Linked DNA regions of Cricetulus griseus. The protein of the gene in region 2 interacts with the protein of the main gene of each other region in a pairwise test. Links are inferred from orthologs where the notes say so. Each region holds a gene or a part of one and is shown on either strand. Other genes may lie near its edges.

The links.
Region 1: the proteins of Pdlim7 (region 2) and Pak5 interact in a two-hybrid assay, tested with the Homo sapiens proteins (2 studies listed by BioGRID and IntAct). The two-hybrid records come from large-scale screens. The link is inferred for Cricetulus griseus from reciprocal best matches to the Homo sapiens genes PDLIM7 and PAK5.
Region 3: the proteins of Pdlim7 (region 2) and Zmynd11 interact in a two-hybrid assay, tested with the Homo sapiens proteins (2 studies listed by BioGRID). The link is inferred for Cricetulus griseus from reciprocal best matches to the Homo sapiens genes PDLIM7 and ZMYND11.
Region 4: the proteins of Pdlim7 (region 2) and Wwp2 interact in binary tests that used the Homo sapiens proteins (3 or more experiments, as listed by UniProt). The link is inferred for Cricetulus griseus from reciprocal best matches to the Homo sapiens genes PDLIM7 and WWP2.

The regions. Positions count from the first base shown.
Region 1 is NC_048599.1:42,473,464-42,477,725, reverse strand, and holds the start of Pak5 (serine/threonine-protein kinase PAK 5), read right to left. Parts: upstream 2,803-4,262; coding exon 2,599-2,802; intron 1-2,598.
Region 2 is NC_048596.1:274,494,263-274,497,773, forward strand, and holds part of Pdlim7 (PDZ and LIM domain protein 7), read right to left. Parts: intron 1,614-3,511; coding exon 1,462-1,613; intron 1,382-1,461; coding exon 1,351-1,381; intron 910-1,350; coding exon 791-909; intron 450-790; coding exon of another isoform or gene 433-449; intron 190-432; coding exon 53-189; intron 1-52. UniProt on the Homo sapiens protein: May function as a scaffold on which the coordinated assembly of proteins can occur. May play a role as an adapter that, via its PDZ domain, localizes LIM-binding proteins to actin filaments of both skeletal muscle and nonmuscle tissues.
Region 3 is NC_048596.1:234,026,363-234,030,442, forward strand, and holds the start of Zmynd11 (zinc finger MYND domain-containing protein 11), read right to left. Parts: upstream 2,803-4,080; 5' UTR 2,605-2,802; intron 2,297-2,604; exon of another isoform or gene 2,221-2,296; intron 1,789-2,220; exon of another isoform or gene 1,618-1,788; intron 1-1,617. UniProt on the Homo sapiens protein: Chromatin reader that specifically recognizes and binds histone H3.3 trimethylated at 'Lys-36' (H3.3K36me3) and regulates RNA polymerase II elongation. Does not bind other histone H3 subtypes (H3.1 or H3.2).
Region 4 is NC_048596.1:183,768,588-183,772,820, forward strand, and holds the start of Wwp2 (NEDD4-like E3 ubiquitin-protein ligase WWP2), read left to right. Parts: upstream 1-1,431; 5' UTR 1,432-1,527; intron 1,528-4,233. UniProt on the Homo sapiens protein: E3 ubiquitin-protein ligase which accepts ubiquitin from an E2 ubiquitin-conjugating enzyme in the form of a thioester and then directly transfers the ubiquitin to targeted substrates.

The sequences.
Region 1 (4,262 bases), on a different chromosome or scaffold from region 2:
AGGGTTTCTCTGTGTAGCCCTGGTTGTCCTGGAACTCATTTTGTAGGCCAGGTTGGCCCCAGACTTAGAGATTTGCCTGCTTCTGTCCCCTGAGTGCTGGAATTAAAGGCATGGGCCACCACCACACAAATAAGAAGCTTATAAAGCAAAAGAGTAGAGAGTTCATGATATTTTAGGCATCAACTATGACACTACAATATATGTTACTTTCTGAAAAATCCTACTGTAACCTCAGGTAGACTTCTCAAAGAACCTAAGTTTCCCAAGAGTTCCAGACTGTACTATGAAAACCAAGCACTCATATCTTCATGATAATTTTATCTGTTATAGCACATACTTTGTAGAATTCTTCTATAGAAAAATGAGCAAGTTATAGAAAGTTACAATTTAAACGAAACTCAAGTCTTCTGTATGAATGAGAATTTTTCTCAATCTTAAATAAATAGGAAGTTCGAAGATAGTTATATAGTATGACATCACAATAAAATTTAAATATATCAAAATATTTAGAATTATTGCTATAATAATAATTAACATTAAAAAGAAACAGGAAGAAAACGTTAAGATGTGCATATAACACAGCTAATTTTGAAACAACTTGGGTAATGTTGCTTATGATGCTCTTATGGACAAAACAGTTAAGTATGAAAAACATTCTTGGTGGGGGAAGAAGAGGAGCTGTTAGAAATTGAACCCATTGAATTTATGCTAAGTGCAGGTCATATCACTGACCTTCATTTCCTGACCTTGCCAAATGTTTGAAAGGTATACTCCCCTTTGACTATTCAGATGATTTCAGTCAGTTTATGTGCTTGGGGTTTGGGGTCAAGAAAGTCAACTCAACATAAATCTAAGATTCTGATATCTTGAACTTTTTTTTTAACCAGTGTAAAGTCATTCTGATTATATCATCTATGTAAATAAGTTTTTATAACTACTTTTATAAAGATTTTCAAAATCTCTTTAGGCCAGCCGCCTTTGCACCAGCAGGATATTATTTAGAAATGAACACCAAGAAGCTCTAACCCAGTTTTACTGAATCAGATACAGGGGTAGAGCTCCATATCTGTGTTATGGTGGTTTGAATAAAAATGGCTCCCATAAGCCCATAGAGAGCAGTACTATTAGGAGGTACAGCCTTACTGGAGTAGGTGCAGTCTTGTTGGAGGATGTGTGTCATTGGGGGCAGGCTTTGAGGTATCAGAATCTCAAGCCAGGTCTAAGGGCTCCCTGTCTTCCTACTGCCCCTGGATCCAGATGTAGAACTCTCAGCTACCTCTCCAGTACCATTACAGCCAATTTAGTCCAATGACAATGGACTAAATCTCTCAAGTGTAAGCCAGCCCCAACTAAATGTTTTCCTTTATAAGAATTTGTGTGGCTCTGGTGTCTCTTCACTGCAATAGAAATCCCAACTAGAACATTTGTTTTAGCAAGACACTTCAGGTGATTCTCAATATACCTTGAGAAGCCCTGGCATAAATGAGTCTGCAAAGGACAGATGTACTCTTACAAGTTGTAGGCAAAATAGATAAGCTAGAGTTTCTGAACAGGGGCAATGGGAGTCATGACCCATCAAGGAATACTGGCTCATGTGGTAGATTTCTACTCAGGTAAATCCTCCTGAAGCCTGCTGTCCAAAAATAAGGGACGACACACTTCTTTCATTGGATCACTATTCGAATTCAACCAGTTGAAGAGATAACAGACTCCTTTATCATTTATCAACTATATCTTTTGTTCACATCCTGTAGAATCACTTTATATATAATTTAGCACAATTTAGGCACTATTAATGTTCACACAGAGTAAGTATCCTCATAGCAAAGATACGTTCTAGTATAATGAATGACAGAGGAACATGAGTTTCATACTTTGTTGAGATTGGAAGACTCTGGAGTGATCTGATGTATATTATTCTGCTAAATATCTATACTGTTTTACTCCCATGGAGAGCTTGTGGGCAACTGCCTGATAGACTACAGAATTCTTACCCTCCAGTAAAGAAGAAGCTGCAACCTCTGAATTGTCTTTTTGGTAACTGAACATAGCTGAAACTTAATGAGTCATGAACATTCCTTATCAAAAATCTACCAGCTGTTTGTTCAGGTTAATTATTCAATGACTGAAATTATTTGCTAATATGAAATATCTCTTTCTTAGACTATGGAGATAAATGTGAAGATACACACATTTACTGTATAAATCATACATATAGACACATACATTTGAGTGTATGCTTATAAATATGATTTATTGCTACTGAAATCTGTTATCGTTGTATTTTATAATAGTAAGTATAAATATTTTGAGAGCAAATAGAAGACAATGAAATATGTCCAGTAAAATATTTGATTAGATCTATTGCTGATATTATCAGAGGAGCTGGGTATTATTGACAGAAATAAAAATTCATTTTGTAGCTTAATTTTACATCTAAATTTTACAATAATCAGTATTCAAAGACAACATTTCCCTTTCATGTGCTGCAAAATGAAGGCTAACTGTGGCTAAAGTTACCCAGTTTATAAAGATAGTACACTAAATCAAGTCAGAGCCTGGTGCTGAAGTCAACCTGAAGACAGAATCCTTGCATACCTTCATGGGAGCCAGTTGTATCGGTGTGATGCATGACGGATCCACCATGGGCTTGGGCCTGTTGGCTGTGTCTGCTAACAGGCTGTGCCATTGCTGGGGAAGGCCAGTAAATTTCTGCTCCTGTGGATCAAACCCAGTATGAACCCTGTGCTCAAAGTTGGATGGGCCAGAAATTTCAATCTTTTTCTTTTTCTTCCCAAACATGATGTAAAAAACCTATGAAATACAAAGAGAAAACAGGCAGCTTATTATATCTCACCACCAGGAGATAAATTTATTTTAGATAATTTATCTACATCATTTCAGTTATCTCTCACAATACTAATTTCAAAAGATAAAAGTTATATTTTCAGGCTGTATATATGAGATAATTTCATTCTGAATCTTTGTTCTTATCTTGAATGATCACTGTGGATTACAGTTGCTTGTCCCATTGGTGCTGAATTTGGCCCATGTGAACTGCATGGATCAATGGTCTGGAAAATAAGCCAGTCTAGGGTGGGGGTGTTTGGATGCTCTTAGTACTCCACCCCAATAAACTTGTCATTAAGAATCCTCAGGTAGATTATACTTGCCAATCCTCAGTTTTAGAAGAGAGATTTGAAGAAGACATAGTGCAACCTGGAGTCAAGACCAGGCAACTCTGTGGAGCCATTGTTGAGCCACAGCTGACAGTTACACTGATGTAACACGTGAAGAGCTATGTTTCCAACTTGTGTATCATATCAACATTACTGAAGCAAAAGCTGAACAATTCTCAAGGAGAAGCACCTCAAAGTTTGGTATGAAGTCAAAATCCAGAACACATATGTGACAAAATAGCATATATATCAACAAGAAAAATGAGCTAATAATTATTCTGCATAAAAACCAATTATTATAGATAGAAAATAAATATTTATCAAACAGATAGAATATCACCTGCTCAAGTAGGTCCTGTAAGTGTTAACTGTATTAAATGGTGATTCTGTACTTCATGATCTGGTAGCCTGTGATGTAACCTAGCTTTGAACACTGTGTCATCATGAATTACATGTGATTGCCATACTTTAGGTGTGTGTGCTTTTGACCAGGGGTTACTCACCTGTGAGTAGGTTAAACAAGGTGTCACCTTGAGAATCCTTCCACATATTGCCATGGGGTTTATAAAAAGATATATATATATATATATATATATATATATATATATATCAGTGTGTGTACATATGTACATATGTGTATATGCATACATATATATTTGGCTTAAACACTTATTTTTCTTTCTTAGGGAAGCTTACTTCAGTGTATAACCATTCTGGTAGGATTGAAGATATTCTAAAGAGAGACATTTGTGCCCCAGAAACTCCCTACTGGGAGAATGAAAAGGCTGAAGCCTGGTGCTGACCAGTGATGACTTTGTCACAGTGCTGACATTTCACACAGTGTTAAGAATGTGTTAGAGCACATTTCTGGAGAGAATGGATAGTGGTGCAGACAGTAGTGATAAACTGGACCACACCTTAGCCTGGAACTGTGAGCTCTGCACATCTCTTGTCCTCTATTTAAATCTGAGCCGTATACTAACCCTGGAAGACAGACCAGGGGGTCAAGGGACTCTTAGTTCTTCATCCTAATGTGGCCACATAGACTAATTTTCTTTTCCTGATTTTTCACCATTTCTTGGT
Region 2 (3,511 bases):
CAGGCCTAGGCTAAGGCCAAGAGAGTCCGCCCTGACCTGGGCCAGCACTTACTGAACTCTGTGCCCGTGAGGTGGGCAAGGATGCGGAAGGAGCGGGACTGGCCTGTCCCTGGCCGTGGCCGCCAGTCTTCGGTATCCTCCATCAGCCGCTGCTTGCTGGCATCGGGGACCAGCTGTCTGAACAACTGTCTGTGGGAAGGGTGTGGCTCAGAACCCCTGGTTCTGGTGAACACCAGGGGCAGCCCCCCCCACCAGGATCTGATGTGACAGGCGAGAGAGGGGAAGGGTGGGGGGTGAGGCAAAGGGCCCTGCTGGGCAGGAGGGTAGGTAGGTAAATGAGAGACGGGAGGAGAGTAGCCAGGGTAGGGAGGGGCTACCACCCAAAGTGCCCAAAGGAAGGGAAAAAGTGACAGGAAGAGGGGGCTCACTGACTTGTCAGGGGTCTGCACCTGTGAAGGAAATAAGACAGATAGACAAATAAAGTGACAGACGCGGGAGAGAAAGATGGGGAATTAGAGAAGTGCAGAGGGAGGCAAGGTGGCAGTAACTCAGCTGGCCCAGTCACACCCCAACCCCAGGCTGCCCAGAGTGGCAGAGCCTGTGCAAGAGCGACAGCCTTAGGTGGGGCTCTACACCCTCAGGCCTACCCGGCCGCCAGGGATTGCTGCCACACGGTTAAGGGGCTGGGGTACAGCACAGACTGAGCAGTAGCGGGCAGCTTGTGTGTGCTTGTGGAAGGACTGGACGGTGTGGACAATAGACAGGAGTGAGTGGGCGAGGGCTGACATACCCATTCTGTTGCGGGGTGCTGTCAGTAGGTGGGGGTGCCCCAAAGGGCCGGGCCGTCTTGTTGAGGGAGGCGCTTGGTGCAAAAGTATACCTCGGGGGATCGGCGGGAGGGGTCAGGGCCTGGGCAGAGACAGAGCCAGGCAGGGTGGGTGGGAGTGGGGGCTGAGGTGGGAGCGGAGTCACCACCACCAAGGACAGTGACAGGTCCAGCTCCACGTACACATCTGGGCAGAGGCTAAGGGTGAGGGGAAACTATGATTTCAAGGGGCCCATTTGGAAGTAGTGAACTCAACCCACTCTGGGCCAAGGGAGACCAAGGATGGGCAGGCACACACAGCACAGGCTCGTGGGAGGAAGCGGGCGGGCAGACAGACAGGCAGGCACGTGTGGCGCCCAGACCGTGCGGCAGCTCCCAGCCCCTCTCAGTTCCTCAGACACTGCCCCTTCTGGCATCTGCCCTCTGCTCTTAGGGGTAACAAGGCTGGGCCTGGGGAGGGCAGGTCAACCCTGAAGTCTAAGCCCCCTCCCTTTCTCAGCCTAGTTATCTCCTGTACAACCTACCTTCTGTGGTTTGCTCTGAACAGGCTGGGCTCTGGAGAAGAAGAGAAAGCAGTGATGGCAGTGGGCCAGACCAGAGACTGCCTTCACCCCTTCATCCTGTTGGCCCCATACCTGCTAAGCCCCAGGCTGAGGCGCTCCCCACAGGCGCGGATCTTGTTCTGGGCCTCAATGTGTGTGAGGCTCCCTGCGTTCTCACCATCGATGCTCAGCACCCAGTCTCCTACAGCCACGCCAGCCTGTGCAGCTTTGCCTCCAGGGGTGAGCTGTGGAGAGGAGTGGTCAGAAGCCCATGGGCCCACACCCAAGCTGTGTCATCTACCTTTCCACTGCTTGGTTGTCTATTCTTCTCTATGACCCTCCCTCACAGTGCACCTCAGGCTAGCGTCCACAGCCTTTGAGGGCTCTGCCAGTCTGCTCTGGAGGCTACTTCACCACCAGATTGCCCTCCTGTGTTAAGACTGGGCTACAAAGGCCTAATAGGGTCGATCAGCGTTACTTCTGTCAGGGTCCTGACAAGTGTCCCATCTATCTGAGCAACTGAGCGACTGCCCTGCCCCCTTCCCCATTCACTGAATGCCTTCATAAATGTACTCTTGCTCCCATGGCCACATACTTTTTTTTTGGGTGGGGGGTGACCAAAGCTCACCACTTACCAGAAATCAGCCAGTGTTGGTGAGCACTACCCCACTAGGCCTACTACATACCCTCATTTGCCACACAGACCAGAAATTCCCAATTCAAAGCCAAAAGGATTGGAGACACATCGGTCACCCACAGCTCTGAAATCACAGGTCCACTCAACCATCTGGCAAAGGGCCTGGCACCACAGAGCAGGCTTAATTTACACTTCACGGGTAGCAGGAAAAGTGGGGTACAGGCTGCCAAAGGTGGCAGCAGGATCCTCAGGTGAGCGGTGCAGTGGGAAGGCCAGGAGGTTCTGAGAATGTTAGGGACAGTCCTGATGCAGAGACTGCAAACACTAGGACAGAATGGAGCTGGACTTGACAGCTCTATTTTGTGCCTGAAGGGGAGGTTAGCAGAGAAGAGAGCACCTAAGTCAGAGCCCTTTCTTTACCTGCTAACAGATGCTAAGAATAGCAACTCAGAGAACACCTAGTATTGACACCGCATCTCCCAATGTGCTTGCAGAGAGTCTGGGGATCCACCCTGCTCATACTCAGAAAAAACAGTATTGCCAACATGTGAACTCAAGTCATCCAGTCTGCACTAGGTGCAGCCAGGATGTGGCCCTCCACAGCAGCGCACCTATGCTACACAGGCACAAGTGAGGGGTCGATAAATACTCTCACACACAAGCAGGAACTCCCCATAAAGACTCTGGGGAGCTGGGTGGTGGCGGCACACGGCAACTTTAATCCCAGCACTCTGGAAGCCGAGGCCAGCCTGGTCTACATAGTGAATTCCAGAACAGCCAGGACTACACAGAGAAAGGCCGGGCGCTGGTGGCATACACCTTTAGTCCCAGCACTTGGGAGGCAGAGGCAGGCGGATCTCAGTGAGTTCGAGGCCAGCCTTGTCTACAGAACGAGTGCCAGGATAGGCTCCAAAGCCACAGAGAAACCCTGTCTCTAAAATAAAAAAAGACTACACAGAGAGATCCTGTCTCAAAATAATTTTTTTTGTCTTCTGGTTTTTTGAGACAGGGTTCCCCGTGAACCAGTCCTGGCTGTCCTGGAACTCACTCTCTAGATCAGGCTGGCCTCAAACTCACAGAGATCCACCTGCCTCTGCCTCCTGAGCACTGGGATTAAAGGCATGCGCCACCACCAACTAATTAAAATTTTATGAAATTAAAAACAAAAAGACTCTGGGTGCCAGGCCTGGTACTGTACACCTGCAACGCCAACACTCAGGCACGCTGAGCAGGGGGACTGACCGTTCAATGCAGACCCTGTCTGAAAAAGACCCCTTCATGCCTTGACTAAGTCTGGGGTCTTCATGCTCCTTTCACCTTCATCCCACTCCAATCTGTCCCTTACAAGGGGGACAGGGAAGTGACACCCTAGAGGGGAAGTGACTTAACTCATGGTCATGGTGAGTCAGTCAGGAGATGGAAACCTGGTTTAGCCACTCCTTCCTCTACAGGCAGCCTGCTTCCTGAGAGGTGTGGGGTGAGACCCAGGGGTGTGTGTGTGGGGGG
Region 3 (4,080 bases), about 40 Mb from region 2:
TCTATGTCATTCACAGAAAATGCAAATAGGCATCCACCCAAGCACCAACTTTAGGATAGCTGAAGAAAATTTAAGGAGAACTAGAGCACAGTTCTAACATTTAAAATCAAATTTTCTTTATAAAGAAAGCACTCACATGTACATTTGTTTAAACACCTAGCAATTGGTAACTGCAAAAACCAAACTGTCCATCTTAAAGAATATAAGAGCTACAGTTTTCACATGAAAACAGTCTCTACAGAAAAAGATAGTGTATACAGTATAGCAATTTTCTCAATCAGAATTCAGCAAGAAGCATTCTGATTTGATCAGTCGCATTTCATGTCTTCTGATCTTTGATTGTCCTTTTCATCTTACAGGGTTAGCCAAAATTCTGACAACAATGTAACCAATGTACTTGCTACAATGTAAACAAAGGCCAGGAAACTAATAGGCCTGTACATAAATTCTCATTGCTTCTAGTCTAGCAGTTCTCTACCTGTGGAACCCCACCAGTTTGGGAGCCAGAAGACCCTTTCACAAGGGTTGCACATCAGATATCCTGCATATCAGATATTTACATTATGGTTCATAACAGTAGCAAAATTACAGTTATGAAATAACAATGAAACAATTTTATGGTTGGGGGTCACAACAGGAGGCATTGTATTAAATGTTGGCAGCATTAGGAAGGTTGAGAACCACTGTTTTAGTTGAACACATTAGAGATTTTTAAAAGTACAAAGACCACCGTGCCTACCAAAACCACTCAAAACTTTTAGAGTACAACCAGACACTAATAATTTTTAGCCATCAGTTGGAATCAATGACACCCGCCCCCATCATTTAAGGTTTGTATCCCATAACAATCAAGCTAAAGACCGTTACATTTCTTGTCTTATTTTTTAAAAGCATTTACTTTCTGTGGCTCGAAGTGATTATTTTTAATGTTTTTGCCGGCATACAACACAATTGACTGTAGGAAACTTAACTCCCAGGTGAATCAGAGAGAGGACCTGAGTGAGAAAGGCTCACAAAAACCCCTTAAACTGCCTACCACTTTGGGGGTGACTTCTCCCTGACTGGACCACTTGGCCACTTCTTTCAGGCTCAAAAACATACTGCGATGCCAGTTATTTTGTACACACCAAATGAAACCAGCGATTGAATACACACCACAGAAGATACTGGGTACAGTGTATAACTCCTACACTAACATAGGAACTGTATAAATACTACATATGACACTAGTTACTGTGCACACAACTTTACAGGAAACCAGGTACTGTGTGTATACACAGTATAAGACACTGGTCATGCAAAGGAAATTAACACCAGATACTCTGTAACACACATTGACACTTTGTAACCATATACAAAGAAACTGCAAACACAGCCGCACACAATGCTAGATACTATCTACACATCTTATCCCTCCTGGGATACAGGGCACAGTTCAGCTGTGCAGTGGCACAGGTCGGAGTTTAGACAAATTAGAGGACACTGGGTGCTGCGTGCATACTGCCTGTGACACCGAGTACTACTAACAAGTCACACACGACAGTCAGTACCACGGACACACGGCAAACACTAAGTATAAGTACCACAGACACCAAAGACAAAGTCCCACGGACACACCGCAAAGCACGCTCGGCTCGGCCCAGGAAAAAGGCGTGAGTGAAAGTTCGGGCCACAGCCCCACAGGCAGCGTCCCCATCAGCGTCTCTCCCCAGTTCTACACGGGCACAGCGCGGCTAATCCCGCAGCACGGCCGGGAGGACCTGTTGAGGCAGCTGAAGCCTCGCAACCCGCTCGCCTGCAGTCCCGAGGGACCGACGGACACTGGTCTCGGTTCTCGGGCACCGCCGCTTCCACTGCTCCCCTCCGCCCGCCACACGTTCCACGCAAAGGGCCCTCGGGCCTGGCCAGGCGGGAGGCGCTGGGACCCGGCGGGAGGAGCTCACAAGACTCCGCGGCTTCGGGGCGCCAGCAGGCCGCGCGCGGTTCTCCGCGGCCTTCCCCCGGGCCTGTTCCTCACGGCTGCCGGAGGCAAGAGGCGCCGGACCGAGGGAAAGCGCCCAGTCCGCAGGCCTCGCCGGCCTGGGGCAGTCCCGAGGCCACCATCAGCCGCCGCCCGCCACAGAGGCCGCAGCCCCTGCAGCCGTCACGGTGCAGGCCGCGTCACCGCCACGGACGCCTCCGCCCGCCCCGCCGCCCAGCGCCCCGCCGAGCTTTCCCCACCATTATGCTCCGCTCCGCCGCCGCCGCCGTCGCCGCCGCGCCCGGCCCTCCCTCCGGAGCCGCCTCCTTCCCGCCGCCCGGCGCCTCTCGGGCCTCAGCCGGCGACGGGCGCGGGGGGCGGGGGGGACGCAGGCCGCCGTCTCCTCCTCCTCCCCGCCATCTCCTCCCTCCTCCCCGGCTCCCCCCGCTGGCTCGGCGCAGAGGGCTCGGGGCTCGAGGGGCGCCATGTTGGCGGCGGCTTTCACCACAGAAAATGCCTCGGCGCGCGCCGGGGCGAAGCCTGGTGAGGCGGCCGGGGCGTCGCGCGCCGGCTGGAGGCCCGGACCGCCGCGCGCACAGTTCGCTCGCTCGCTCGTTCGCTCGCTCGCTCGCTCGCTCACTCACCGCGTCTCCTCAGCCCGACGGCGGCGCAGGGCCTTCGGGGCTGCCGAGGACGCCCTGGGGGAAAGCTGACGCTCCCCACTAAGCGGTGGTTCACATGGTGCGGGCGCGGCGGCCGGCCGAGCTCGCAGCCTCCTCGGAGTTCATTGTGTGCGCTCGAGTGTTTCCCCGCGCGGGGCCGGGCCGGGCAAGCGCGGCCTGGGCCGAGCCGCGCACGGGGGGCTCTAGCGGCGGGCGCGGGACTTGCGCGGCCTGCGCTGCCTCCCCGCCCCGAGACCGGGGGAGCCCGCCGCACCCGCTCCTACCTTCCCTCGACCTGTCTCCGGCGCCTCTCTGCGAAATCGGTTTCAGCATATTCTAAGGGGTCCACACACCAACTCCATATCAACACACACGTGCAAGCTACGTACGTGCTGGCACGCTGGAGCCGGGCACCGTGACACGAGGGTAGCATTGTTAGGGTCCTGCCAGGCCCGGTGGGCTGCGACGCGGCTCGCGGGGTGGACCCACTCCACGCTTTGCTTGGTTCCTAATGGCTCCGTGTTGGACAAGCACTCGCCCGTGTACTGACCCGAATGGGTAAGATAGTCTCCCTCTATTTCCAACCCTGTGCTCAAAAAACCAGTTGCAAGACACTCAAGTTCCCGCGTCCTGTAGATGCACAAATGGAACGTTTACAAAGAATGGACCTCCCATTATCAATCTGGTTAGAACATTACAAATTGCTGGAAGAACTAGGTTATCCTTTTTAGTGAGTAATTCTAGATCTAATCAGAGGAGATCCCTTAAGCTATATGGCTTTTAAAAAACCTTTGGGGGAAAAGTCGCAGAGATAAAAGGACATACAGATGTCGTACATTGTCCTAATAACCTTTGCCTGCTAGGAGTTTGGAAAGGAAACTACTGGCCAAAATTGCTTGCCCCTATTCTCATCGGATATATGTGCCTGAAAATCACTGGAAACTCCCCTAGAAACCTGGATTCTTAAATTACCCATCTGTTTACAGAGCTGATCTCTAGGAACTTAGAAATGAACAGCAGTGAGTTGGCCTTTGAAGTACACCAGTCAAACATGGTCTTTCAAAACATTAACAGCCCTGGAACTGATAGCCGCATCTCTGAGTAGTGTTTGGGTGTTTTGTTGTTTGTTTTTGTTTCAAGCTTTTTTTTTTCCACTTCAAAGATCATGAGATATTTTCAGTCCATTCGAATAATAAAATAAGGCATGAGTAGGCAGCAGGTAAATGCACTCACCACCCAACAATCAGAGAATCAGCATTCAATCCCAGGACCCATCCATAGGGGGGATGAGATTAAATACCATTACAACTAGATAGAAGGAAATCATGCCATATCTGATTGCAATGCTGCACTGGGAACCACCTGTTTAAGTGAATCACCTTTTTAAAAAGGTCTTATTTCCGCTGTAGAGGAATGGCTACTTCTATATTTCTATGTATTCTACAGAGGCCATTCAAG
Region 4 (4,233 bases), about 91 Mb from region 2:
AGATCCATAGTTCTGGGAAAGTCTTTAAATTTACTAACCTTGCTTGATCCTTAACACCCAGTGTAGTTGCCGGCTGGCTAATAAAGACTTTCTATTGGCTTAGATGAATGTCTGAGCAGTTTTCTCTGGTAGATAACCCACAACAAAGGCACCAAACATCCAGGTGGTACACAGATGTGTATGCACAGGAAAAAGATCCATATAATAAAATACTAATGAAAAATTAAAAATTTCAGTTAACCAAAACCAAACCCAACAGAAAGCCAGATGGTGTGGCACATATCTGTTATCTGATCAACTGGGAGGTGGGTCCCAGCCTAGGGTGCATGAAACCCTGACTCCACCTGTCTCCTGACCCCCCCCCCCCCATGGCACAAAAAGGTAATCCTAACTACTCAGAGAATCAAAAGTTCAAGGCCAATTAGAACTCTTTAAGCAAGACCCTGCTCCAAATAAAAACTAGAAAGGTAACAACAGGACTGGCAACATAGGTCAGTAGGAGTGATCCCTGACTAGTATGAGCAGGGCTCTGGGTCCAACCCTCAGTGCCCCCAATGCCAGGAATTAAGAAGGCTGAGGATAGGGTTGAGTTCCAGGTCAGTCAGGGTTACATAGAGGCCGTTTGCTAATTCAAAACTTTCAGTTTACTCCATACAGGGAGGAAATGGGAGTTGGTTCCCCATGGGACACTTACGGACTTGGGTGAAGTTCTGAAGTGTGACCTCACCCCCACCCCCTTCTACTTTTGCTTCTTGGAACAAGAACAGATGTTCTATAAAGGCCAGGGCATTTATACTTCTAGAACTGAAAACAAGGCCTAGCATATAGTTGGCACAAGCTGCCAATATTAGCAATACATAAGATGCTTAAGTTTGACCAGTATACCTTTGTGGTGTCAATACATCCCTTTCCAAATTTGCGGACGTGGTTATAGTTACAAGGTTTATCCGATATTCAAATTTAAGGGGGGAACATACTGTTTTTTTGTTAGCAAGTTTTTGTTTGTTTGTTTTTTGAGACAGAGTTTCTCTGTGTAGTAGTCATGGCTGTTTTAGAATTCACCCTGTAGACAAGGCTAGCCTTGAATTTACGAAGAACCGCCTGCCTCTGCCTCCCAAATGCTGGTATTAAAGGGGAGCGCCACTATCACTCGGCTAGCATACTGTTTTTTTCTCCAGTAATCCCCGAAAGACTCGCTGAATTAACTGACCGGATGGTCTTCTCCCACCTGTTTCATGGAGGGAAACTCTACCTACTTCCAAAGGAATAAAATAAAGCCCCTGGTGCCCGGCGAGTCCCTATTTTGTATGTCTGCCCGAACACAACTCAGGAGCAAGAGGTCCTCGCCACTCGGGACCTCAGTAAATCAAAAGCTCGCATGCTGGGTCTAGGTGGTCCGCACCTGCGCGCCCAGGCCAGCCTCTTCCGGGTCAGGTGACCGCGCGCACTCACGTGACCCGGCCCGAGTGCGGGCGCTGGAAGGCGGAAGTGGAGCGGAGTTAGGCGCCGCTGGTGTGGCCGCTGCAGGTAGGTGGCGCGGGCGCTGGGGGCTCGGTGGCGAGCGGGCGGCGCGGGGTGGCCGGGGGCGGCGGGGGCGTGAGGGCTGGGGGCGGCGCGGGGCGGGCGCGGGGGCGGCGGCTTCCTGTGGGAGGGGCCTGGCGCGCGGTTCCGGCCTCCGAGGAGGGGTGTCCCGGCTTGCGCCCGAGCGGGGTGGGCGCGGGGCCCGGTGGGAGTCGCCAGCTGCTGGCGCTTCCGGCAGGGGACCCCTGCCTGGGCGCCTGCGGTGCGCAGGAGCCGCGTCTGTGGAGGGGACGGGACCTCGGCCCGGGAGACTAGCAAGCTCCCCAGAAGGGGCTGCCTGGGAGTGGGCGTCTGGTTTGTAGGGACGTGGAGAAAAAATCTGGACGATGCGGCCTGGACCCCATTCCGAGAGTCTCTTCCTTCCATCCTCTTTGAAGATGATGGCGACCTGAGACTTTAATTTCGGTCCGGTTCAGTTTTTAAACTTCAGGAGGGATCCCTCAGTCTTGATCGGCTGACTGTGGTCACACCCACTTTGCCCTGTTTGCTTAGGGTTCCCTCTTGTTAGGAGCCTAGCCCTTCAGATCATCTTTCTTTGAGATGCTCCCGGATCGGCTGATCTTCGAAAAAAAAAATAAAATAAAGACGGTGTGGGTGCTTTACTGGGATCATAACATGACTTTCAACCTACACAGTTGTCAGCGGCTTGGGCCAGCGTTACCTCAGCAACGCATTGACTGCTTAACTCTTGGACAGTAGAAAGTCTACCGATACTGCTTTAGACGATGCATCTTAGGCTTAAATTACACAGTTTCCTTTTCCATGAGACTTCTTATCTTGACCAGCTGTGACTAGGTGGGGTGACAGAGAAGTTTCTGTGGTATTCCTTAGAACTGTGACCTAGATCACATTTTTTTTTTTTTTTTTTTGAGGTTAAGATACCCATCTTAAGATTGTTCATCTTCCAGGCCGAGGCGTGAAGATGGCTGCAAGTTCCAGGCCAAGCCGGCCTGGGCTACACTGTTAAGACCTAAACAAACAACCAAGCCCTCCTCTTTTCCTTCACATTTACTAAACTTTGCAGAAGTGAAATGGGTTTTGTGAATGCAGTGAAGGAGTTAGAGTTCAAATGGGACGTTGACAGGAGCCAGGATCACAGGTCACTAGGGCAAAAAAAAAAACCAAAAACTTTGCATTAATACATTAGGAGTGGAAGACTTTGGGGTATATGACAAACATTCAAAAGTTAATTTTTGTAGCTGTCATGAGAAATCAATCCCCACTTCACAGAGAACAAACAGCTAAGAGGGTTGACTTTAAAAATATTTATTTTTATTTATTATGTGTGTGTGTGTTCGTGTCTGTGTATGTATGTCATATGTAGGGTGTGGGTGTCCACAGAGGCCAGAAGAAAGCATTGGGTCCCTTGAAGCCAGAGATACAGGTGGTTGTGAGCCTCTGCGCTTTCTTTCTTTTTAAAAAGATTTTATTTTGTCTGCATTCATGTCTATGTGAGGCTGTTGGATCCTCTGGAGCTGAAGTTACAGACAGTTGTGAGTTGCCATGTGGGTGCTGGGAATTGAATTTGGGCCCTCTGGAAGAGCAGCCAGTGCTCTTAATCACTGAGCTGTCTCTCCAGCCCCAAGCCTCTGGCCTGTCATTCTGGGAACTAAACTTTGGTCCTGTGGAAGAGCACTAAATACTCTTTAACTGTTGATCTATCTCTCTAGCCCCAACTTGACTTGTTTACTCATCTTCCTGCTAGACTGTAAATCATTCAAGGGCAGTGATCCTATTTTATGTGGCTTCCTTGGCTACTAGCCTCATGCCTGGTATGTTGTGAGTACTTGGTCAGTGTTTGAGAAATAAGGGAGTTTTTAAAGGTCACACTGCTGTATGTGGTGAAGAAGGGGTTTGAACTTAAGTTTCCTGTCCTTTTTCTGGTCAGTGAAGCTAGTTTTGTTCTGTGTTATTGGTCCCTAGGAAACCAAGGAGCCTGAGGCCAAAGGCTTGGATTGGCTTGTCGTTCTCTTTCACTGTTTTTTTTTTTTTTTTTTTTTTTTTTTTTTTTTTTTTTTTTTTTTGTCATTGAACTTTACACCTTACCACTGAGTTGGAGCTGTAGCCCTTCCCCTCTCCCCCACTCCTGTGTAGCTTTGGAGCCCATCCTAGCACTTGCTCCGGAGACCAGGCTGGCCTCAAACTCACAGAGATCCGCCTGCCTCTGCCTCCCGAGTGCTGGGATTAAAGACGTGCACCACCAATGCCTGGCTGTAGCCCTTCTTTTTGTAAGTTTTTTTCTTTTTCTTTTGAGACAGACTCTCAGTAAGTTTCCCTGGGTGGCCTCAAACTCCTGTAGCTCAGGAAAGCCTTGAACTTGTGCTCCTCCTGCCTCTGTCTCTTGAGTTAGCTGGAATTACAGGACTGCACTACCAGGTCTGTCTTTCATTTAATGACTACTTTCCCACTTGCAAAAAACTTACACCAGGTTCTCATTTATTCTTATATTTGGTTATTTCTTTCCTTATTTAAGACAAATTTTTATTATGTAGTCCTGACTGGTCTAGAGCTCACAAAGATCCACCTGCCTCTGCCTCCCAAGTGCTGGAATTAAAGTTGTGTTAAATTAAAATAAATTTAAATCAAAACTATGCTCAGCCTTTCCTTTTTTGAGACAGGGTCTCACTGTGGCTTTTGGCTTTTTGATACAAG